4 linked regions of the Rattus norvegicus genome follow. The protein of the gene in region 3 purifies or fractionates together with the protein of the main gene of each other region. This does not show direct contact. Links are inferred from orthologs where the notes say so. Each region holds a gene or a part of one and is shown on either strand. Other genes may lie near its edges.

Region 1 (6,131 bases), on a different chromosome or scaffold from region 3:
AGAGAGAGAGAGAGAGAGAGAGAACGAGAACACATACAACCTGGGGTTTTACTCCTTTTTTAAAAGAAAGCTTTTGCAAGTTATTTCTATATTTTAACCCAAGTCATTTTAAACAATTCTACCATTTAATTCATCCAAAAATTCTCACAAGAAAACCCCATGAAGGATATAATTTACTTACATTCTTCCTACACCTTCATACATGTTAGTCTCATCCACCAGTGTCATGATCTCCGTGTCCGTAAGGTGTGCGTGCTTTTTTGTCCTGTTTAGCTGTTCAATCTGTATGTCTGCAAGCTTCACCTTCTGTTGAGTATCAATAACTTTGGCTTGAAGCTCTGTGAAGGCCTAAGAAAAACAAGTGCTTGATTTAGTAGGCTAAACTTAAGTCAAGGGGTTGGGGATTTAGCTCAGTGGTAGAGCGCTTGCCTATGAAGCGCAAGGCCCTGGGTTTGATCCCCAGCTCCGAAAAAAAGAACCAAAAAAAAAAAAAAAAAAAAAACTTAAGTCAAATTTAGATTTGTTAAAACAGAACATGCTAACCAGACAAGGCTGTAAAATTTACCAAGATAATGAGAGTCAACAGAATTGTAAATTCTAAAAGTACACTATTCATTGACTCTATTCATAGAGGATGTGATCAATATGAATAAGCAAAATAAATGTGCATTAAAAAAATAGCTATACATCAACTAACCACAGAGTAATAAAAGAGATAAATAAAATACTCAGGAGATAAACCCAAGAGATTCAATGCAAGAAACAACTTACTACATCTGTATTATGTAACTAGAATCCAAAACACCTCACATTATATCAAAATCCTGGCTGGAGAGCCAGACCTGGTGTCTCCCACCTATAATCCTAACAACTGCGAGGCAGAAGCAAGGGGTTCAGGAGCTGTTTGGAATTCCGACTCATAAGATATTTGAAGCCAGGCTGGGCTACAAGACACCTAGTCTCACAAAAGAAATTTTTTTTAGGGGATTGAGATTGACTCAGCAGATAACAGCACTGTCCACCAAGCCTAATGACCTAAGTTTGACCCTGGGAACTACTTGGTAAGAGAACACTTGAGCACACTTTCAAATGCACAAACTACATTTTAAAATTAATTTTTAATCTATCTATAAATAGATAAATAGATGGGTGGGCAGACAGACAGACAATGGTTCACAGATGGCTCAGCAGGTAAAGGTACTTCTTACCATGCCTAACAACCTGAGTTCCATCCCTGGGACCTGAACCTACATGATAAAAGGAGAAAACGCTTTATATAAAGATATAGATACATAGCTGAGATTTACATGTCAGGCACAGAAATGCATTAATCCTAGAACCCAGGAGGATCTCTTGTGATTTCTAGGCTAGCCTAGTCTACCTATATAGTGAGTTCCAAGCTAGTCCAGGATGCATGGTGAGACCATGTCTCAAAAAGAAAAAGAGAAAAAGAAAGAAAAGCTTACAAGGCTGAGATTTATAGCATGAGAGAATGCTATCTAAGGCTAAGTTTACATGTTTCAAGACAAGAATGGCAGAAAGATGCACATATTTAGCATCCCCAGAACAATAGCAAGTGGCTTCTTTTATTAGGAACAGCTGTTTCAGCTGTCGTATTACTTAGGCACAGGTTAACCAGAGACAGCTACTTATGATGTTACTTATGGGAGCTAGGGAAACAGTGCAGTCAGCTGACCCAGGGTTCACTCCCCAGGACCCACAAGGTGGCTGAGCTTGGGAGCTGATGGGATGGCTCAGGGGTTAAAAGCACTGGCTGCTTTTGCAGAGGACCAGGTTTGGTTCCCAGTACCCACATAGCAACCCACAACCACATGTTAACTACAGTTTCAGGGGGATGCAAAGCCCTCTTCTAGCCTGAGAGGGATGCACACATATGGTATACAGGCATTCATGCAGGCAAGACACATACATAAAAATACAACTTGTTGTTGTTTAATGCTAGGCATGAAGGGCAAGGGGGAAATAAAGGTCCCAGCAGCTCACAAGACAATCTCGCCAAAGTGGCAATCCCTAGGTCCCAGTGAGAGGTCTTGTCGAATGCAGGAAGCCCTGAGTGCAAATCCTAGCACTAGGGAAACTGGGTGTAGGGGTGCATGCCAACTACATAGCCAAGTTCCAGGCCAACCTAGGCGACATGAGACTCTGTCTCTTGGGAAAAACAAAACCAGAATCCAAATCTGGGCCAGTAGATGGCTCAGCTTGCCTAGAAGGCCTGATACCAAGAGTTCAATCCCCAGGACCCACCTCATAAGAGAGAACTAACTCCCAAAAATTGTTCTCTGACTTCCACTAAGCACCTTGCAAAATGTACACACACACAACTTTTAAAAATGTTTCTCACCTAAAAAAAACCTACTGAACAAAAAAAAAAAAAAAAGGATTACAGTAATTCCAAATGCTAGACTCCGTTTTAAAAATGTGTTTACTGGGGTTGGGGATTTAGCTCAGTGGTAGAGCGCTTGCCTAGAAAGCGCAAGGCCCTGGGTTCGGTCCCCAGCTCCGAAAAAAAAAAAAAAAAAAAGAAAAGAAAAAACAAAAATGTGTTTACTATTGTTTGTGTGAGCACCGAGCAGTGTACTAGTGTGTGCCTCTAAGATTAGAGAACAACTTTGTGTAGTTCTCTCCTTCTACCGTTGGTTCCAGGGATAGAACTTAAACAGCCAGGCGCCTGGCAAGTATTTTCACCACTGACCCATCTTGCTGCCTGGGGCTCAATCTTTTAAGACTTTTCTTGCCAGGGACCCTAGCACATATCTGTTACCCTAATACTCTGAAGGCAACAGCACTAAAGTACATTAGGGGTTCAGGGCCTGACCAAACTAAACCAAGCTAACCAGAAAGAAAAAAAAAAAAAAAAAAACACTAGAAGTTTACCTTTCTAGAAAAGTACATTTAAACAGAATGAGTTCTAGGGTCCTTTCTAATTACAGCTAACTCTCCACAAAGATAGCACAGCCAGGATCAGTCCCAAGACTGTTAAGTAGCAAAAATGTTTCCAATTAACAACCCATTTATAAACAGGCATTTGACTCAAGACTAATTCCCAGAACTCAAGAGGCTGAGGCAGAAAGACTGCCTGGAATTCAAGGGCAATAAGTCCCACGTCAATCTAGAACACCCTGAGACATTGTCTCTTAAAAAAAAAAAAGCAAAATAACAAAATCATTTCTAAGCAACGGATTGAACAAAATAATAATAACAACAACAACAATCCAATTCCTCTGAAAGGTCTTTTGGAAAACTTACTTGGGGAGGAGGGGTAGTGTATGAGCTCTTTACAAAGGTGATGGGGAAGGGAGGATTAGAGCCTTGACAGGAGTCAAGCAGTGTCTGCTTATTTGAGGTGTAAATACAGAAAGACCTTTCAAGGTATAGTGTAGAATAAATGACCTAAAAGCAAAGATTGAACCTGGAGTTTTTCAAATCAAATGAGGAAACCAAACTGCAAGTTCTCCTGCAAGCATCCTGACAGGCATCATCACTGTGAGACACTGTCTTCAGTCCTTGCTATGAAATTGGTACCCGACGGCTCCAAAACACAGAGAGATGTCTCTGAAGTTCCAACATAAGAACACACTGCAGCCCAGCCCGCGTGCGACCCAGCAACCTAAACCCACCAGAAACAGCTCCTGCGAGCAAGAGCCTCCACCTGAAGCAGAGCGGGTCCGGTCTCAAGGCTTCGGGAGGCCAGACCCCGCCCCCTACAGTCTCCTTCCTCCAGCGAAACGCGAGCTTTCCCCCTCCCCCCTCACGCCCCCATTTTCGTCCCTACTCGCTTTATCATTCAAACAGAAGTGTCTGTCTGCTGAAAATCCCCCCTTACCTTCTTCAACTCCAGATCCACGGAGGCGGCCATATTGAAGGACACTATGCGCCTGCGCTAGAGGCAAGCCGGAAAGGGGTGGGGGAAGGGCGCTTGCAGGTTTTATTGGTAGGCTTCCTTCTGCGCCTGCGCAAAGGTGAACTCAACTAACCCAGATTTCTCAGCTTGTAATCTACCCGACTCTACCACTCTGCCACGAGACAAATGACCCTGAACATTGAAATTCTGATTATATTTGATAAACGTGTAACTGCCGAGATGTAACTTGCTCCTCCACATACAATTAGAAAAACATCTTCACTTGGGCTGCGGAATTGAAACAGGTTTGTCGGTCAGCTCATCAATCATTCATTCAGTTCCTGTGCTGTCAGTCCAGCTTCGGGCATGCCAGTAAGACCATTAGCAATATGGTTCATCTAAAAAGAACCTAATTCTGCCGAAGCTTCCTCATATATCTTCTAGACACAGTGCTTCTTGAGACAATTCTGTTTGTTGGGATCAGATTCCTGACTGGGGTGTAGTTCAGTTGGCTAAATGCTTGCCTAGCACATTTGATACTCTGAATTGCCCCGTACAAAACGAGTATGATGATGCATTCCTGTGATCCAAGTGCTAGGTAGGTTGAGGCAGGAGGATCATACGTTCAAGGTCAGGTCAGCCTGGGGAATAAAGGTGCTTGCCACCATAACGAAATAAATGAGTTCAATCCTGAGAACCCACATGGTGCAGAGAACTGATTCCCACAAATTATCCTCTGACTCCCTTCCATGTGTGTACCTCCACACATGCTTATGAACGCACACATACACTGAATAGATTCAAATTTAAAACTAGGAACTGGAGAGATGGGTCAGCAGTTAAAGAGCTTATACCCTTGGGGCTGGAGAGATGGCTCAGTGGTTAAGAGCACTGACTGCTCTTCCAGAGGTCCTGAGTTCAATTCCCAGCAACCACATGGTGGCTCACAACCATCTGTAATGGGATCCGATGCCCTCTTCTGGTGTGTCTGAAGACAGCTACAGTGTACTCATATAAATAAAATAAATCTTTAAAAAAAAAAAAAAGAGCTTATACTCTTATTCCAGCGAATCAGAGCTTGACTCTCAGCACACGTTAGATGGCTCACAATGACCTGTAATCTCCAGTCCCCAGAGAATGCACACCCTAGCCTCTGCAGGCACCTGTGCTTACATGCTCTCACACGCATGCACATGTGTAGACAAAATTAAAGATAATAAGAATAAATCTTTTTGTACTTTAAAAAAGTTCAAGTTATCCTCAATGACATAGAGAGCTGGGGTTCATCTTGGACTGCATAAGACTTGTCTCAAAAAAAACAAAAACCCAAAAACTCAAAAATAATAGATGAGGGTCAAACATTGCGGTCCTCCCCGTGATCCTAGGACTGGAGAAACTGAGGCAGAAAGCTCGCCATGAATTTAAGGGCAGTCTGGTAGTGATCCCAGACCAGTGTAGGCTGCTTATACAGGGGCACCACGCTAAGAGACAGGGGCAGGATACAGACTGCGATCTTACACAGAGATCCACTTTGGCTTGGGCACTGTCATTCTCTCATTCCTGCTTGGCACACAACATACTTCTCTCATCTAAGGGCGTGTGTAATTTGGAGAATGTGCAGCCAGTGTCTGACTAGAAGTGTGTGGAAGCATCCATGTCTCTCAACCTCTGCTTTATGCTTCATACCTTCCTATCTCGGTGAGCTACGCTTCACTAATGTGAGCGTTGTCCCTTCAACTGTGTCTCGTTTGTCATTTCACTCTTCAATTGAATTTTTACTTCAATGACTATAAACTCTAATGTTTCATTCAGTGCTTTTCTTCTCCACTGAGACAGGATTTCACTCTGTAGCCCATGCTAGCCTTAAGCTCCTCATCTGCCTGCTTCAGCCTCCGAAACACTGTCGTTCTAGCTATGCATCACCGTGCTCTGTTTAGACTACAGTTTAGAAAATTCTACTTAGGCCAGCTAATTTAAATTAAAGGCTACAAAGTTAAATTCTGCCTCAAAAATCCAGAAATAAAAACTTTCCAGTTGATCATTTTCAAATTTATCAGCTCTTTCCCATGCTACTTGATGTTGAATACAATTAGAGCATACTCATTCTAAGTACTGGACGCTTTCTTTACAATGCCTTGGGCCTGAGGTTTTCTGGATGTGATTTCTTTCATTGAGGATGTCTGCTGGACCTCTCTTGTGATGATTTTCTTTGATCCCAGTGCTAAGGAGACAGAAGCAAGAAGATCTCTGTCTAGACCAGCCAGGACTA
Region 2 (5,926 bases), on a different chromosome or scaffold from region 3:
ATTTACCAGCTAGGTTGAGATTCGTAAGTGAGACGTCTTGTCAGCAGGAAAGGTGATCTGAAGAGCGAACAAAAATAGCCCGTGTCCGACAGCTGTGATGTCTATAATTTATACGCTGAGATCACCTCTCATCAGATCGCCATGGCGTACACACAAAAGAGAGTCAGTCAGTTGTATGTTTACTAGGTCTCAGGAGATGAAATTTTGTTATGCCCATTTCCTAGGTTCACTCTTTACGTACAAACATCGTGACTTGAGACTTCATGTTTGAGGAATGTGACTATGAAACTCTATCGGCATGCACAGTGTCACAGTTGTTTGACTAACCTTTAGTAATTTAATCACCAAACAGCAAATAATCAGTTTTCTTTGTGTTTCTAAATTACTTTTTTCATGGGAAAAATTGCAAGTGTTTATAATGTTTTGAAATGTGTTTGTCTTAGTCAGGGTCTCTATTCCTGCACAAACATCATGACCAAGAAACAAGTTGGGGGAGGAAAGGGTTTATTCAGCTTACACATTCACATTGCTGTTCATTACCAAAGGAAGTCAGGACTGGAACTCAAGCAGGTCAGGAAGCAGGAGCTGATGCAGAGGCCATGGAGGGATGTTACTTACTGGCTTGCTTCCCCTGGCTTGTTCAGCTTGCTCTCTTATAGAACCCAAGACTAGCAGTCCAGGGACAGCACCACCCACCCTGGGCTGGGTCCTCCCCCTTGATCACTAGTTGAGAAAATGCCTTACAGCTGGGTCTCATGGAGGCATTTCCTCAATGGAGGCTCCTTTTCTGTGATAACTCCAGCCTGTGTCAAGTTGACACACAATACTAGCCAGTACAGTGTTTGTATGTGTTCAGGGAACTGCTATGGAAGTAATGGAGGTATGAAGTTTCATATTCCTGTAACAGGAAGCAAATAATCTTCAGGTATGGAAGGATCGACCAACATTAAGTAAAGCAAGGAGAGAAGGGGGAGGGGGAGGCAGGGAGGAAGAGATTGCTTGATCATAAATTATTTGCCCACTGTTAATACTCTGGTCATGCTTTGGATTCTCTTTACTATTTTTTTACTTTCATCCTCAGTAATCCATTTCTTTAATTTGCACTTTTACATCATTTTTGTTTCCCACAATTCTTTGATCCCTTCTGTGTTTTGCATTTACCTGAACATGTGAATTATTTCCTATATTAGTATTTCTCCTTTGTCCAGTCACACACACACACACACACACACACACACACACACACACACACACACACACACACACACACACAAGTGCTGAAATATACTTAGGGCTCTGTTTGTGATTTATTGAGAAATTTTGTTTAAATTAGTTAGAATCGAGAGTCCTGGAGAGGGTGTCTTTTATCCCTATAACACGATTGTCTATATAACTGAATGAAGAAAAGAAATAGAAGGAGGGACATAATTGCTCCTGGCTACAGTGGATATGCTGGTTTGTCATTTGTCAAATTGACACAAGCTAGGGTTATTTGAAAGGAGGGAACCTCAATTGAGAAAATGCCTCCATAAGATGTAAGCTGTAAGACATTTTCTTAATTAGTGATCAATGGCCCATTGTAGGTAGTGCCATCTTTGGGCTGGTGGTCCTGGGTTCTGTAGAAAACCAGGCTGTACCAGCCCTGATGAGCCAGCCAGTAAGCAGCACCCTCCCGGTGCTAACCCCCCATGGCCTCTGCATCGGGACTGCCTCCAGGTTCCATGTACTGTTTGAGTTCCCATCCTGACTTCCTTCAGAGATGAACAGTGCTGTGGAAGTGTAACAATAATACCTGTCCTCCCCAACTTGTTTTTTGGCTATGGTGTTTTATCACAATGAAAAAAAACCTTAACTAACACAACGAAGAAGGCTTATTGTAGATAAACGAACGTACAGGCAGAAGCAGGGACGTTTAGGAGAGTCCAGGGTGAACATGGGCAGACTGAGCAGGGCTATGTGAGGAGAGAGGGGGAGTGGGAGCAAGAGAGGAGCCAGGCCTAGAGGGGTGGGTGGTCTGGGCTGAGAGATTAGCACAGCCAAAATGGCTGAATAATCTAGGGACCAGGGGACCTGAGGGAAGGGGCTGGAGTCCCTGGGCTGGAGAGTTCGGGGTAGGAGTCGAGGTATGGCAGGCAGGAGGACCCTATCCCAGTTAGGGACTGAGGGATGCTGAGAGAACCTGGCAGCCAGCGTCATCTTTGATATGTTAATGATAGGCGTCTCCTTGGGCAGTTTGTCCAGGGTTTCGACCTAACAATAACGTGACAAGGAACTACAAAATAAGCGTGAGTTCTAAAACAATGGGGTCGCTATCTGAGGAGGGTACGGACTAGAGCGTTCCCAGTCAAATAAACCTTGCCTGGGGGGAGCGTGCCAGGGGCTAGGGAAGGGCCGCCCTCCCCGCCTGGTCCTGCTGTCCTGAGGCACGTCTCATGGTCTGCACCCCCTCACCCCCACTTCTCTTCAGATTCTCCTTTCACCTCGGTCGCTCTCAGACTCATCCCTTCCATCTTCACCGCCGTGGGCTTTCCTCAGGACGCTTCGGGCTCTGCGCCTCCAGCTCGCGTCCACACACGCCGAGCCGCGCTCACCCTACCGCGCCCCAGGCGTCCCCGTCCCGCCCCCCGGGCCCGCTGCACTGTGGGTAGGCGGTGGCGGCGGCGGCAGCGGCGGCGGCGCTTAGAGCCCGCGGCCCGGGGAGGCCGCGCGCCGAACATGGCTGAGAAGCAGAAGCACGACGGGCGTGTGAAGATCGGACACTACGTGCTGGGGGACACCCTGGGCGTCGGCACCTTCGGCAAAGTGAAGAGTGAGTGCAGCGGCGCGGGCGCGGGGCCGGGTGGCAGGTGGAGCGCTCGCAGGCGAGCCCGGGGCACAGGCACCTGGCGCGGCAGCCGGGGCGTGGGTCAGGGGGACCCACGGTCTGAGCTGTGCCTTGGCGGGGGTGTCTGCGAGCACCCTGTCTTTTCTCTACCCGTCAGCTCACTTGTCTGCAGAATTGGGCGACTGGCCCAGTCCAAAGGGCCCCGAAGCGTGGGGAGGATGGGGTAGTCACGGCGCCGCGGATTGGGAGTGGGTCTCCCACTGGTGCCAAGCGCTCTGCCTGGAGCAGCATCTGTGGTCTCACTTAATCCTTTACGTGGCGTAGCCAGGGTGCGGTCCTCACCTTAAAGGTGAGAGAACGCGAGCTCCGAGGCTTCAGCGGCACGCCCAAGGTCACAGAGAATTGGCAGATTCAGGGTGAGGTCTAAAATGTCCTCCAATTTTGGCCTTGCCGATAAGGCCCCTGGCTTCCCCAGATTCTTCCCTGTCCCAGGCCTTTGATGGTGGAGTTGACTAGGGGCATGCCTAGAGCTGAGAGGTGGCGAGTCCCCTCTGCTGGGTGTGTGAAAACGCTGGAATGCAGCTGGTTGGGCAGAGGCTTTAGGGGAACCCCAGCTCTGCAGGTTGATTGGTGTGTGTAAATTGGTTCTAGGAAGACTTCTGGGGTCAGGGTCTGGGAAAAATGTTCCTTGGTAATGGAATTTGGGTCCCCAAGATGTCAGACTTGCTTAGGCAAGGCGTTTGTTTGATGGCAAATTGTGGGTTTTGGGGGGAAAAAAAAACAGGTTGCTTTTGAAATTTCAACTCCACTTACTAGTTAAGTATTAAACTTTGCTTTGTTTTCTTATTAGTTAATAAGAGTCACATGGGTTTGGTTTGATTACCAGCTCTTGTTAAGAAGATACTTGGTAGCGAGTTGAGAATTAAAAGTGAAACGTTAGCTTTTTTTGTTGAATAAATAGTGGGTAAGCAGTCTGGGAATTTTATGCTAAGGCATATTTTTCACATTTTAACCTCCAGTGAAGACTTGAATAGAAGGCAGGGACTCATCATTCCTGCGAGGATTAACTCCTCTCGGTCTATCTAATACCCATTTGTACAATGAGAAACACTGCTTATTGAATGCTCTTACCACATGCGAGTTACTGTTCCAGGCAACAGAGTTCTAGGAAAGCAAAACCTGAGCTTTCTTGGGACTTTTCCGAGAGGGAAATGCAATCAGAATACACGTGAAAAATGTATGCTCCCTCCTACTGAGAAAGGCAACTAGGGGAAGAAAGGATGGGGACTTTAGTTAGGCAGATTATATTAAGGTGGTCACACATGGTCTCACCAAGTGGGTATTTTTGTAAAGACCTAAAATGTTCGTAAAGTTATTTGAAGTCTTATGAAATCGGGATCTTGTAAGAACTGTGGATAGTCGTGAGATGGTCCAGAGATTTGATGGGTGATGTTGACACCATCTTTGCTGAGAACTGCTTTGCTGGATTGGCAGTACAAAGTTATGCAAACGGCTGCTTTGCCATTTAGGGTAAGTTATATAACTTAGCCGTTTATGCTTTCATGTTCTGCTAAATGCTTTTGTTTGCTTTTGAAAAAAAATTTATTGTACTCTCGGTGTAGAGTGCAATACCAACTCTGATTCCTCAAACCATTGTCACGGGATAATTTAAAACTATTTGGTTATATTCTTTGCTTCTAAACCACCAGCTTCCTAAAGTATAAATGGAACTGAAGGGACCTTTGATTTACGAGAAAAATCTTTTTCTTGGAGAACCCTGGTGGAATGAGCTGTTTGGGGGTTTTCCTGATGTTGTTTGATCTTCCCTAAAGAAACACTGTATGGTGTGATAGTTACTATTTATGTCAAATGCACACAAAGAAGACTTAGCTAGGAAGGGAATCTGAATGAAGAGTTACTTAGATCTAATTAGCTCGTGCACATGTTAAAGTGGGAAGCCCCCCCCCCCCAAAAAAAAATTCTGGGCAGCACTGTTCCCTGAGATTGGGTCCTGTACTGTGTAAGTATAGAGGGATGGCTGAGCATGAGCAAACATCCATGCATGTGTTCTCTCTCTCTCTCTCTCTCTCTCTCTCTCTCTCTCTCTCTGTCTCTGTCTCTGTCTCTGTCTCTCCCTCTGTCTCTCTCTCTGTCTCTTTCTCTCTCTGTCTCTGTCTCTCCCTCTGTCTCTTTCTCTCTCTGTCTCTGTCTCTGTCTCTCTGTCTCTCTCCCTCTCTCCCTCTGTCTCTCTCCCTCTGTCTCTCTCCCTCTTTCTCTGTCTCTCTGTCTCTGTCTCTCTCTCTGTCTCTCTCTGTCTCTCTCTGTCTCTCTCTGTCTCTCTCTCTGCTGGTGACTGAGGATGTGACTGCTTCAACTTCCTGCCTCCGTTTCCCTCAAAAGGTCTGTAGCCTGGAGATCTGAGAGAAAATAAACCCTTTCTTTCCTAAGTAACTTTTAGTCAGGGCATTTTATGACAGAAATTAAACTAGGTCGTATGGGTTTGTAATCAGTACGGCCGTAGTTGTTAAGTAGTTAAGTCAAGGGACTGGTGAAACAGAGCACACGCATTATAAGAATACGTTTTAATCTATTATTTGACAGTTTCATACAATGTGCTTTAATTAGTGCGCTCTCTCTCCCCCTCCAACTCCTTTCATGCCCTCCCACCAAATCTCCATCCCAATGTCACATATGTATATAGTGGTGCAGATATGTGCATGGGTACGGGGCCAATCCACTAGGGGTCACATCTCTGAAGAAAACTAGACCCCTTGCCCCCAACCCCATAAACAACTGTGAACTGTGTAGGTAGTTTCTCATCTGAGAGTGGGCCTTCTTGAGCTCCTCCCCTATGCAAGGCATGTGTAGTTTTAAAAATGTGTATTGAGGTATTATAAAACATATTATAGAAGTTACTGATTTTAAGTATACAGGTCAACAGTTTTTAGTACCAAGTACCAAGTTTACCAAGTACCACAGCCATCCATGTAGCTTAGCTGGAGAAAATTTATCTTATCCTTTATTTTAAATGTAGTTAATCCCATTCCCACCCACAACCCTCGGATACAGCCATTTACGCCGAATATGTATAAGGACTGTCTT
Region 3 (6,010 bases):
CCCTGGGTGGCCAAACCATGTTGACTGGAAGTGACGAAAAGTTCCTTCAGGGATCGGCCAGATCCAATTAAAGTCTAAGCTGGTTGTTTGCTTGCCAAATGACCTTGGAAAGCACTGTCTGTTTTCTCTGAGTTCCTTTCCATGCCTGGGTGATGGAATGAAAACATTATGTAATGGAGATTGCCAAATGAGACTCTCTAGTTTTCTTTTCTTTTAGTGGTAGAATTAAATGAATTTGAACTGGAACGACTGCCCATCATAATGACTGAGATCACCAACTCCCTGCTCCTTTGAAGCCTCGTGGCTAAAGTTGGCAAAAGTGAGGGAGTAGCTTCCACTTTGGGTCTTAGGAGCTGCATGGATTCTTTTCTTTTTTCCTTTCCTTTCTTCCAGCTAGAATGCTAGTGCAAGGGTAGAAGCTAGAATGGTCATCTGATATTCAAGAAGAAAGTTGTTTTGGATGGTTTCACAACTACCTTACCAGTTCTTGACTGTCTATAGACTATTGTTTAAAATACCTTCCCCCTCCCTCCCCTCCTCCGTGTGTGTGTGTGTGTGTGTGTGTGTGTGTGTGTGTGTGTGAGAGAGAGAGAGAGAGAGAGAGAGAGAGAGAGAGAGAGTGATGTGGTGTGCCAGAGGCTCTGTCTTAATTTTTCTTGAGACAGAGCCTCTCACTAAACCTGAAACTAGGCTGGAGACCAGCAGGTCCCAGTGATCCTCCTGCTTCCACACCTCCACATCCAGCTTTATATGTGGGCCCTGGGGACTTGAACTCAGGTCCTCACATTTGTCCAGCAAATGCTCTCACCCACTAAGCCACCTCTCAAGCTCCTGGGCATTCTTACAGTGGGTCTTTGTTACAGCAACCAAACCTCTATCCTAACCAATTTTTGTTTGGAAGCGCTGCTACTTAAAATCTAAAACAAATACTAGTTTAGAGACTGACTAGCCGCTAGCAAGGAAAATACTGCACAGGGGCCAGCTGTGGGCCATAGTCACAAGTCATACAGGCTATGACTGTCATGCCTAGGCAATAGAACACAGCCTCATGGACACTGAGGTGGGCCCACTTGCTGTGCCTCGGGAGTTCTCCTCTCTGGCAACAGATCCAGGTCTCAAAGACACTCAGGAAAAGCAAAAGCCTCCCTCCTACACAGTTCGTCTCCACCCTCCTTAAAGGCAGTTGCAGGTGCTTGTGCTTTGAAGGAGAGAAGAAAATATGTTCAATAAATCCAGCAGGAATCCAATAGTCCGTTCCTGAGTTCCACTCAGGGGGTCTCGATGGAAGAGACTGGAATGACACGACGAAGGGAAGGCCAGGGAGAGGGAAGCCAGAGCAGCTGGGTCAGTGTTCCGCATTTGGGTTCTGACTCAGGCCCTAGGAATGCCAAAGAAAGCGGTGCGCCGCACAGGAGCCAGGCTGGGTTCCCCTCTGGCACAGAGAGATGCAGAGTCAGTACTCATGGTGGGTTAGGGTCTGGACTCCTTCATACCCATTCATCTCGCCTTGGCACAGGTCAATTCAGGTATTTCTCCCTCTGCACACAGGTATGAGCCCAAGCTCTCAGTCCCATCTCTCGCCTTTGTGATGACCAGCAGAGCGCCTACTGGTCTGATTCTCTTTCTCCATCCTTCATCTTTCACTAAAGAAGGGAATAGGTTTGTGGGACCCAAAATGGGAAGTCTCGACATACCCTGGCTCCTCTCTCGGGACCACCCACAACACCCTCACCCACCTCCATCCTTGAGTGTATCCTCCTTAATTCATCCCACCCAGGCTAGGGAAGTTTGCATGAAAGAGAAGGTAAAGGCAGTCAACTTTCCTCCTTAGAACTTTCAGTTCGAAGATGAGAGTTCCACCTCCGTAGCGCCCCCAAGCTGCAGTGCCGGAACAGCTGCCGGCTGAGCTCTCCCTCCCAAGACCTGACAATCAGAGAGAACCCGATACCCCGAGGGCCTGCCGCCAAACGACCGGCCCAGAATAGTGCCACCCCGCCGCAGCCCGTCGCGCATTTGCTAACAGACTAGAGCTGGCCACATGGAGCCCGAGCTGGAGCACACACTGCCTGGGGTACCGGGGTCCCAGGGGGCCGCGGAGAAGGACAGCAAGCGAGTGGCCGTGTGTGTGTGTGTGTGTGTGTGTGTGTGTGTGTGTGTGTGTGTGTCCCGGGTACGTGGCCCCGGGTGCTTGTTGTGCACTCTATTCTGTGGTCGGTGCTATGTATGTATGTATTTTGCGTGTATGTGCCTGTGTACGGTTCCAGGTGTGCCTGGGGCATGCAAGTTGTGCATATCTGTATACCTGTGGTGTTTGGGGTGGGTGTGCTTTTTAAAGGGGGACAACCCAGGGACTTTAGAACAGAAAGCATTTTCACTTGAGACATTCTCTCCCAAAGACCCTGACCTGGAGCCACAGTGGGGGTCCAGAGAGCCAAGGTGGGTGGAGTGCTGCTCCCTGTGGGTCTAGCCTTTTCTCTTTAGCTCCCTTGTCTCCTGCCTTTTTGAACTCCAGTTCTTAACTCCTAGCTTGGCTTTTGTCAGGAGAAATTCTTTCCCCCTCAGCCTTCTCCCTTTTTTCTCTTCTCTTTTTCCCCAGTGTGTGTCCCCCATCTCTCCTTTCCCCTTTGCTGTGTGATTTGTGATAAATTGCTTAACCTCTCATATTTTCGCCCCCCCCCATGCTAACTAGGAGGAAGGCTATTCCTATTTACAATATGTGCCTTGGAAGATTCCTATGAATAGAAAACGAAAAATATTCCGAGGGGGGTGGGTGGGAGGGGCTTTGAAAGGCCAATATCCTCACTAATGACATCAGACTTGGTTTGTTGTATCATTCCCTACTAATCAAAGACGTTCCTTTCCTCCTTCCAGAGATGGACTTCTTAGAACCAGAAGAAAACTCATGGCCATCGCCAACTGTGGCCACCAGCTCAGAGAGAACCTGTGCTATACGGGGAGTCAAAGCTTCCAGATGGACGAGACAGGAGGCCGTAGAGGAAGCAGAGCCACCAGGTTTGGGAGAAGGTGAGGCCAAGGTCGGTTATGGTGACAGGGTCAGCAGGAATTCCAGAGCGGAGCTTGACCTCAGACCTCTCCATCACATGGACTTAAACCCAGTCCCATCATGGCCTCTGTCTCCCTAAACGAGACAGCAATACCTGTGCTGGCAACCCCAAGCCCCAGGGCAGCCACCTTGGAAAGGTGGAACAGAGTTACTGTCAGCTAGGACTCTGAGACTCTACAATATCCCCGTGCCCCAATGCTGCCAAAGACTGAAAGCACAGAGAGTATTTGCTTTGGAAGATGAAGTTACTGTCCTCCCTGCTTCCTTCCCCCAACAGGTGCCCAGTCTGGACCAGCTGCTGAGTCCACCAGGCAGAAGGCCACATTCCCAAAGGCCACACCCTTGGCTCAAGCTGTTCCCTTGGCTGACGCGGAGACCTCCACCACAGGGTGGGACCTGTTCTTGCCCGACTGTGCAGCCTCAGCAGTGGGCTCCAGCACAGGTGACCTGGAGCTGACCATAGAGTTCCCAGGCCCAGAGGTCTGGGACTGTGAGCTCAAAGGCCTGGAGCAGGACAGGCCTCGGCCTTGCCCCTCCCCGCAGGCTCCACTTCTCAGCCTGAGTTGGGACGATGAGCTTCAGAAACCTGGAGCCCAGATCTATATGCACTTCATGCAAGAGCACACCTGTTATGATGCCATGGCCACCAGCTCTAAACTGGTCATCTTTGACACCACACTGGAGGTAAGACCCTAGCTTGACTCTACTTAACCACAGGGCTCAGCCTCCTGCCTCTGTAGCTACCACCCACATTCTCCTGGCTGTCTTGTCAAGCTGTAGTGTCTGAAAGCCCCTTTCTGGGACTCCTTCTTAGCGTCATACACACAGTAGGGAGAGAGCATGCTCTGTGGGGATCCCCTAATCGCCATCACAGCTCTGCTGCCTAGAACCTGCTAAACCTGGGGTTGGCCACTCTATCTCCGTCATCTCTAAAATGGGGATCAGAAGCTTGCTTCCCTTGTTTCAAAGAAGTCTTCGAACAACCCAGGGCAAAGTAAGAATACCCTGTAAGACATTGCAGAGCTACTCGGGACCGAGAGGAGGGTACCAGCTGCGATAACCACTCTTCCGTTAGGCTAGACTGACTCTGTCCTTAGCACTGTTACTGCATGATGTTCGAGGCAAGATGCATACATGCTCGAGGCCTAGTACATGTGTCATCCACAGAACAATCTGGCTCTGGCGTTTTACAAAGAAATATACTATCACAAAAGCTTTGCTTAAGTCTTGATGTGTGTCAAAGAGTTGGCTGCAGTGGAACGCATGTGTAATGCCAGCACTGAGGGGGCTGGGGCAGGGAGGTCTCAAGTTCCAGGTCGGCCTCTAAACCAAGGAACAACAACAACAACACACGCGCGCGCGCGCGCGCGCGCGCACACACACACACTCACACACACACACACACACACACACACACACACACACACACACACACCACCACCACCATCACCACCACCACCACCACCATCACCACCACCACCACCACCAGAAACATAGAAAGGACAGGAGAGAAGAGAAAAGAGTTAAGAAAAGGGAAGAAGAGATGGGAAGGAAGGAAAGATGAAAGCCAAGCAGAGCCAGCACATATGGAGGATACCAGTCAAAACAAGTTAGTCTCAAATTTAGTGGGGAAACTGAGGCAGCTGTGCAACGGGTGACTAAGTATTACCTCTAGTCGTTAAATAAGTAAAACAGCATCATGTCTGTATGCACATGGCCTCCTTGTGGAGGAAACACTGCTGTGTCTAATTATGATCCCTCAGTCCCTCTGGGCACAAGTGGCCATATTTGTGTGGCAAATGTGCCCTTGCCATTGGAAAGAGGCAGACTCATATGGAGAAGAAAGACACCATGGGAGGAGACTGGTGGGGACAACAAGAGGGGAGGATGGACTGCTGTCAGTCCTTACTCCTCCCCGTTTGTTCTTTCCTGCCCCTCAGATAAAGAAAGCTTTCTTTGCCATGGTGGCCAACGGTGTGAGGGCAGCCCCTCTGTGGGACAGCAAGAAGCAGAGCTTTGTGGGTGAGGAAAGGCGGTTGGACCTCATGTGGTACAAGAATGTTGGCATTGGGTCCTCACTGAGCCTTGCACTGAGGCCTAACTTCTTCCACGTTTGTCACCTGCCAACCCTGCAGGCATGCTCACCATCACGGACTTCATCCTGGTGCTGCACCGTTACTACAGATCTCCCCTGGTGAGTTCTGGGGTGACTGGTGGGCTGGGATAGGGACATCTTCAGGAGGCCTGATGTTCCAGGGCTCAAGTCTGACCCCAAAGTCCCACCAATGTCTTTAGGTCCAGATCTATGAGATTGAAGAACACAAGATTGAGACCTGGAGGGGTAAGTCGGAGAAGACTGCAGGGGTTCAAGTTGGAGCCCAAGGCCTGAGACAGAAGGTGGGAGGGTATAAGGCAATGGGGAAGCCTTAAGTGCCTGCAGGGAGGTAAGCAGTCAGGAGACAGAGCAAGGCCACTGGGAACTACTGTGGCCTGACTCAGGTTTTTCTGCAGAGATCTACCTACAAGGTTGCTTCAAGCCTCTGGTCTCCATCTCTCCAAATGACAGGTAAACATCCTCTCTGCTCACTTGAGCCTGCGCTCTCTCTCTCTCTCTCTCTCTCTCTCTCTCTCTCTCTCTCTCTCTTAAAGACTTTTGTTCTGATATTTGTTGCTTGGTGTGTGTGTGTGTGTGTGTGTGTGTGTGTGTGTGTGTGTGTGTGTGGTGTATCACAGTGAACATGTGGAGAACGGAGCATGTTTTACAGAAGTTGGTTCTCGCCTTCCACCAGCAGGACAGCAGGGATTGAGCTCGGGTCAACATGCTTGGCAACAAGGGCTTTTATGTGCTGACCCATGTTGTCTGACTCTTGAATCATGCCTTGTGCTATCTCTTCCTGGGAAGCAGAGGGATGAGGGAACTTTGGTTCCCTGTTAGGGGACCTCAGA
Region 4 (5,890 bases), on a different chromosome or scaffold from region 3:
AAATGCTCACCAACTAACATGTTATATGTAGAAGTGACTCATTTGCTTCATGAAGTCACAATTTCACTGTACTATTCGCACGGAAGCAGGACTCTCTTAGTCCATGCTTCTGTAACTGTTTATGGGGGATGGGAGACAACAAGGGGGAGAGACTAACACCTTAATAAACACAGAAAAGGATACCTCAGAAATAATTCAAGCATTATCCCAACCCTTAGTTTTCTGCTTAAACTTTCCCCTCCAAATGCTATCATTAAGTAACCCAATTATTTTCATTACTGTTTATTTCATAACAAGACAACCACTATCAACTTAGCCCCAAAATTAAATTTCTAAGACTGGGGATGTGGCTCAGTTGGTAGAGCATTTGGCTTAGCAGAATGAAGCCCTGGGTTCAATCCTTAACGCTATATAAAACCAGGCATGTTAGCACGTAGGCTGGTAGTCCCAGCACCAGGGTGGTAGAAACAGAAGGATCCGAAGCCCAAAGCTGTTCTCAGTTACACAGCAAGTTTGAGAACAATCTGGCTAAATGAGACACTATCTTAAAAAAATAAAAAGAAATAAAAAAAAAAAAAAAAAGAAAACCAAACACACGTATATCCCCCGGAAGCACTAAATATCATATGGGTGATTTATCCATCTATAAGTATCACATTTCTGTTAAATTCTCTTATGTTAAATTTACCAACATATATAATAATTGAAAAATATTTTTTCAATAAAATTTTCAAAAAATAAGTACATTTTCTCAATTAGAATTTAAGGCTAGGGTAGTGGTGGCACACACCTTTCGAGCCAGGCAGAGGCAGATAGATCTTTGAGTGTAAGTGTAGCCTGGTCTACAGAGTGAGTTCCAGGAGCAGGACTACCAAGAAAAAACTCTGTCTCAAAAAAAAAAAAAAAAAGAAAGAAAAAAAAAAAAAAGATAGATCGATCCTACATACATACATACATACATACATACATACATACATACATAGAATTTATGACTGATGCAATTATCTCTAAAAATTCTTAGAGATGGGGGAGGTTGGAGAGGTGGCTCCGTGGTTAAGAGCACTGGCTGTTCTTCCAGAGGTCCTGAGTTCAACTCCCAGCACCCAAATGGCAGCTCACAACTGTCTGTGACTCTAGTTCCAGGGGATCTGACACCTTCACACAGACACACATGCTGGCAAATACCAATGCACATAAAATAAAACTAATTTTAAAAAATTTCCAATATGACCAGACACTGTGGTTATTTTTACCCCCTTTCTGCACTTTCCTGCCTTCTGCTTCCTCTCCTACCTAATAGTCCTCCTTCTTCATAGTGTCGCAATAGGAAGAGCAAGCACACACATAACTGTGCACTGTAGCCAGAGACTAAAAAAAGGAAAATGCCCCTCCCTCCCCAACACACATACACATCCAAACCTGGGTCATCCTATGGTCATTAAGATGGTTTGTATATGCTTGGCCCAGGGAGTGGCACTAATAGAAAATGTGGCCCTGTTGGAGTAGGTGTGTCACTGTGGGTGTGGGCTTTAGGACCCTTATCCTAACTACCTGGAAGCCAGTATTCTGCTAGCAGCCTTCAGATGAAGATGTAGAACCCTCAGCTCCTCCTGCACATTGCCTGCCGCCATGTTCCCACCTTAATGAAAAGGGACTGAACCTCTGAACCGGTAAGCCAGCCCCAATTAAATGTTGTCCTTATAAGAGTTGCCTTGGTCATGGTGTCTCTTCAGAGCAGTAAAACCCTAACTAAGGCAGTCATGCTAACCCCTTTCTGATGCAATAAAATGACATATGGCAGTCCAGCCATTCCTTAGTAAAGAGAGGATCATAGCAAAAATCATGGTTTCTATTACTAATGTCAAAAAAAAAAGCATCCCGTTTAACAGTTTTAAATGAAATGACTGAATATTTAGACCCACATCAACTAACAGGTTCAAGGACAAGTTTAATTATAACCATGAATATAACCTCTGACTCACACTGGCCCTCTGTGTTTGAGGAGGTTTATGACTGACAGTATAGTATTTCAAGAGAAGACTGTGTGGGTGGGTGGAGCAGTGAAGGTTAGGGAAAAGCAGAGTCACTGGGAGGGAGATTCGAGTCACTGCTACTTCACAGGTCAAGGCCCAGAACTGAAAACAATCTCTTCTTCCTTTCCTTTCTGCTTGATCCACTCTCGTCCATGTCAAAGAAATGGCAGACCGGACGCCACATTCCAAGCAGGACCTTCGGAAGGAGCCTTCTGAGTCCAAGCCTGCCTTATCATTTCAATCAGAGCCTTAATAAGCTTTTCTTACCAGCACGTGTCAACTAAAAAGCACTATGATGGCAAACAAGGAACATGCCTAGTTAAAGCTAAACAAAACACTGGAAGAGAAGCTGAGGCAGGAAGAATGACAAGTTCAAAGCCAGCCTGGACAGCATTGTAACAGTCTCTCGAATGCACGTATGCATGCATGCATACATACATACATACATAAAAAGAGACAAAGCTGAAACTTCAAAGTGTTCACAAACATTTCACTGGCTTACCGTGATCAGTGCTCCTGCCCTAGACTGTACTCCCCCTCCTCATTCACACTGTCTAGCTTACTGATTTTCCTTAGGAAGATTTATGCATTTGCTCTGCTAAGAGTTACACAGCATCTTTCAGTTCTAGGACTGGGAAAGAGAAGGAAGGGGTCTTCTGCTCCTCCTGGGAGAACGAAGCTCAGTTAGCTTGCTGTGTAATTTGACAAACTTCATTTCAATCAAATATCTACTAAGAGCTCAGTATGTGCAGGTCTTAGTCTATTATTTCTCCAAAACCAATGCATGAATTATTTCTTATCAGCTCCAAACTTCCGTCCTCTAAATACTTAATAGCAGGCTTAAATATTTTAAAGGGGAAAAAAAAGTCCACTCACAAAGGTTGTAATCAGAAATGACCTTGTCACAGACGGTGGGCTAGACTACAAGTTTGAAGACAATACTTGTGCTTTTGCTAAGGCAGGGGATTCTACCAAAACAAACAAAAAGTTCAAAACATGGGCTCTGAATTACTAAAATATAAATATATTTGAGAATGAATGGAAACTGTACCTATAAGCTAATAAATACCATCTGGGCTAACATAAGCCCTACCTACCAGGTACGGCTCTCAGAAACCGCAAAACTTCTGAAAACGAAAACACTTAAAGCAGAGTCTGCATCCAACTGTAAACCACGCATAGGAAACACAGCGCCAGTTCGCATGCATAGCCATCAAAAGTCCTGATGGAGATCAATAGTCCTTACAAGGGCATTATTATTTCTGAAAGATATCTTCACAGCTACCTTACTTTTGGAAGAACACATTTCGATTCAGGAAAATGAAGAAGCACATAAGTCGACAACCTCCTAAAAGCAAGGCAGCGACAACTCCAAGGACCGCCAGGGCGCGATGGGCTGGCTCTGCGCCGAGGGCGCACAGGGGATCCGAAGAAGAGACCCTCTCGTCCGCGCCGGGCTCCCCCGCGCGCGCAGTGTCCAACTCCCTCGCCTGGGAAAGTTGCACCCAGAGCCATCCCCGCCCCTCGGGCGCCGCGCCGTCGCCATGGCGACCGCCCCCACCCCACCGCGACGGACCCCATAGCTCTGCAGCCCGCGGTGGCCTCGGGCTCCGCTCCCAGCGCCGCCGGGATCGGGAATACGGAGCCCAGACACCCGGAAGGCGGGCGCGGGGAAGGATGCGGAGTGCGAAAAGGCGCGGTCGCCCGCCGTTCGCGGGGTCCGCGCTGGCCCGGGCGTCCTCACCCTTCACTTTCCCGAAGGTGCCGACGCCCAGCGTGTCCCCCAGGATGTAGTGGCCGATCTTCACCCGCCCGTCGTGCTTCTGCTTCTCGGCCGTCGCCATCTTTCTCCAGGAACTGAGTCTGCGCATGGCGCCGCGGGAGGGGGCGGAGGGGGCGGGCAGGGCCGTGCCGGGGGCGGGCGGGCGCCGAGGGGGTGGGGACGCGGGTGCGCCGCGGTGGGGCGCAGTCGCCGGCCGCCGCCCGCGCAGGCCCCGCAGTCCCCGCAGCCGGCCGCCGAGCGCACTCGCTCCCCCTGGCGGGCTAGGCGGCGGGGCGGCGGGAGCGGCGCCGGTACTCGCCTCGGCGCCCCGCATCCCTCTGCGCGCGCCTGCCCACCTGCGCGCGGGAGGGCCTCCCCTGCAGCGGAGCGGGCCGCCGTCTCCCCTAGTTCACTCGAGGGTCTGCGGGTGAAGAAGATACAGCCCCTCTGTAGTTCCCAGGAGGACCATGCGTACTCTTGCCCGGGGATAGTGCGGCGTGCTGTGAAACAAGACAGGGGACACCGCCCTACCACTGTCTTCTAATCTTGATTTTCATCTCCCTGTCATCTGGAAGCCAAGGATGTTTCCACTTGCACTTTTAATACTTCCCACTGTTTAAAAAAAGAAAACTCTGAGCCAGTAAATTACTATTGGACACCGCACAGCTCAAGCAGCCTAGAGGGTCTTCCTAGGAAATTTACTACCCTCAAATTTCCCCGATGGAATGTGTGTGAGTTATGTGTACTCCGGAAAGAGACGTGTTATCCCGAAATTATGGTGTATCGAAATTAATATTGTTACATTTTCAATAAAATGTATATTTTCAGTGCACTAAAAAAAGAGAGTATGTTGTTTTTATAAATGGGGCCATAGCATTTCACCAAAAAGTATGTTTATTTGAAATAGGATTTTGAAGTGAATCTGTTACTCGGTTCTAACGATAGGCAAAATAAGGGTATTATCATAAACGTATATAAACAGATGCCACCCTTCGATTTTTTAGTTTGAATTTCTGTCGTTGCCAATGGAGAGAAAGGTCAGTCTCCATGACGGTGTACTTTTTTTAAGAGCCTAGAAATGTCATTTTTCTTTGGGATGCAAAAACTCCCAGTTTTCCCATCTTCTGGCTTATGACATTAAAGCAATGTAATATTAAGCACTTTGTTCCAAGGAAACCTCTTCAGGGGAAAGAAATCCACTTTAAGCTTAGAGCAGTGAGTGGTTCTCAACCTTCTTAATGCTATGACCCTTTAATGCGGTGGTGGTGACCCCTCTCCCACCATAAAATTATTTTCAACGCTACTTCATAACAATTTTTGCTACTTTTAGTAATCACAATGTAAACATCTGTGTTTTCTGATGATCTAAGGGGATTGATACAGTAGGGGGTCGCGAGCCACGGGCTGAGAAACAACTTCTTCTAAGTAGAAACCAGTAACTGAGAACAGTCGTGGCTAATCAATTCCCTATTTTACACGTATTACTATTAGGCAGAAATAGCTCTGGATTCTCTTAAGGAGGGGGAAACCCTTTAAATTCTCCCACCCCATGAACTGACATTTTAAATTACTTCACATTTGCATCCTGGATAAGATTTAACCCAGGAAGGTTCTACTGTTTATTTTAATCTACAAGAAATAAGTGGTCTCAGGCTGTAGCTTTTGGTAGGGTGCTGGCCTGGCATGGGCTAAACCCTGGGTTTGATCCCCAGTAGCATGAAAAGTGAGCATGATAGCTCATGCCTGCAATTCCAGCACTGGAGATTATCACCAGTGAGATCAAATGTTCAAGGTCATCCCCTGCTACCTAGGGACATTGAGGCTGATTTGAACTACATGAGATTCCCAAAACGAACACAAACTAAGGCAGGATAAGTGGCTCAGTAGTTACAGGAACACAGCATAGAGCCTGAAGACCTGAATTGGAACCTGGAATTCACATGGTTGAAGGTGAAAATGGACTCCCAGTTAGGTTATCCTCTGACGTCCACATGTGTGCCTACGATACACTTGCGCACAATAAGTAAATGCTTACAAAGAGAAATAATCACAAAACAGTCCAGTTACATCAACAGGATGGTGTCAAGGAGCAGAA

Evidence for each region. Proteins that work in one complex are often made in the same cells at the same time.
Region 1: the proteins of Prkag3 (region 3) and Pfdn1 purify together in Homo sapiens (affinity purification with mass spectrometry; 3 studies listed by BioGRID and IntAct, counting the BioPlex papers as one, with this or other methods). This does not show direct contact. The link is inferred for Rattus norvegicus from reciprocal best matches to the Homo sapiens genes PRKAG3 and PFDN1.
Region 2: the proteins of Prkag3 (region 3) and Prkaa2 purify together in Homo sapiens (affinity purification with mass spectrometry; 3 studies listed by BioGRID and IntAct, counting the BioPlex papers as one, with this or other methods). This does not show direct contact. The link is inferred for Rattus norvegicus from reciprocal best matches to the Homo sapiens genes PRKAG3 and PRKAA2.
Region 4: the proteins of Prkag3 (region 3) and Prkaa1 purify together in Homo sapiens (affinity purification with mass spectrometry; 3 studies listed by BioGRID and IntAct, counting the BioPlex papers as one, with this or other methods). This does not show direct contact. The link is inferred for Rattus norvegicus from reciprocal best matches to the Homo sapiens genes PRKAG3 and PRKAA1.

What each region holds. Positions count from the first base shown.
Region 1 is NC_086036.1:28,337,220-28,343,350, forward strand, and holds the start of Pfdn1 (prefoldin subunit 1), read right to left. Parts: upstream 3,905-6,131; 5' UTR 3,878-3,904; coding exon 3,845-3,877; intron 349-3,844; coding exon 182-348; intron 1-181. UniProt on the Homo sapiens protein: Binds specifically to cytosolic chaperonin (c-CPN) and transfers target proteins to it. Binds to nascent polypeptide chain and promotes folding in an environment in which there are many competing pathways for nonnative proteins.
Region 2 is NC_086023.1:125,105,107-125,111,032, reverse strand, and holds the start of Prkaa2 (5'-AMP-activated protein kinase catalytic subunit alpha-2), read left to right. Parts: upstream 1-2,022; 5' UTR 2,023-2,285; intron 2,286-2,467; 5' UTR 2,468-2,715; coding exon 2,716-2,809; intron 2,810-2,885; exon of another isoform or gene 2,886-4,354; intron 4,355-5,926. UniProt on the Homo sapiens protein: Catalytic subunit of AMP-activated protein kinase (AMPK), an energy sensor protein kinase that plays a key role in regulating cellular energy metabolism.
Region 3 is NC_086027.1:83,749,551-83,755,560, reverse strand, and holds the start of Prkag3 (5'-AMP-activated protein kinase subunit gamma-3), read left to right. Parts: upstream 1-1,931; 5' UTR 1,932-2,038; coding exon 2,039-2,071; exon of another isoform or gene 2,072-2,121; intron 2,122-2,396; coding exon 2,397-2,436; intron 2,437-2,871; coding exon 2,872-3,024; intron 3,025-3,341; coding exon 3,342-3,748; intron 3,749-4,422; exon of another isoform or gene 4,423-4,673; intron 4,674-5,004; coding exon 5,005-5,086; intron 5,087-5,199; coding exon 5,200-5,258; intron 5,259-5,359; coding exon 5,360-5,405; intron 5,406-5,563; coding exon 5,564-5,630; intron 5,631-6,010. UniProt on the Homo sapiens protein: AMP/ATP-binding subunit of AMP-activated protein kinase (AMPK), an energy sensor protein kinase that plays a key role in regulating cellular energy metabolism.
Region 4 is NC_086020.1:55,965,789-55,971,678, reverse strand, and holds the start of Prkaa1 (5'-AMP-activated protein kinase catalytic subunit alpha-1), read right to left. Parts: upstream 3,905-5,890; coding exon 3,778-3,904; intron 1-3,777. UniProt on the Homo sapiens protein: Catalytic subunit of AMP-activated protein kinase (AMPK), an energy sensor protein kinase that plays a key role in regulating cellular energy metabolism.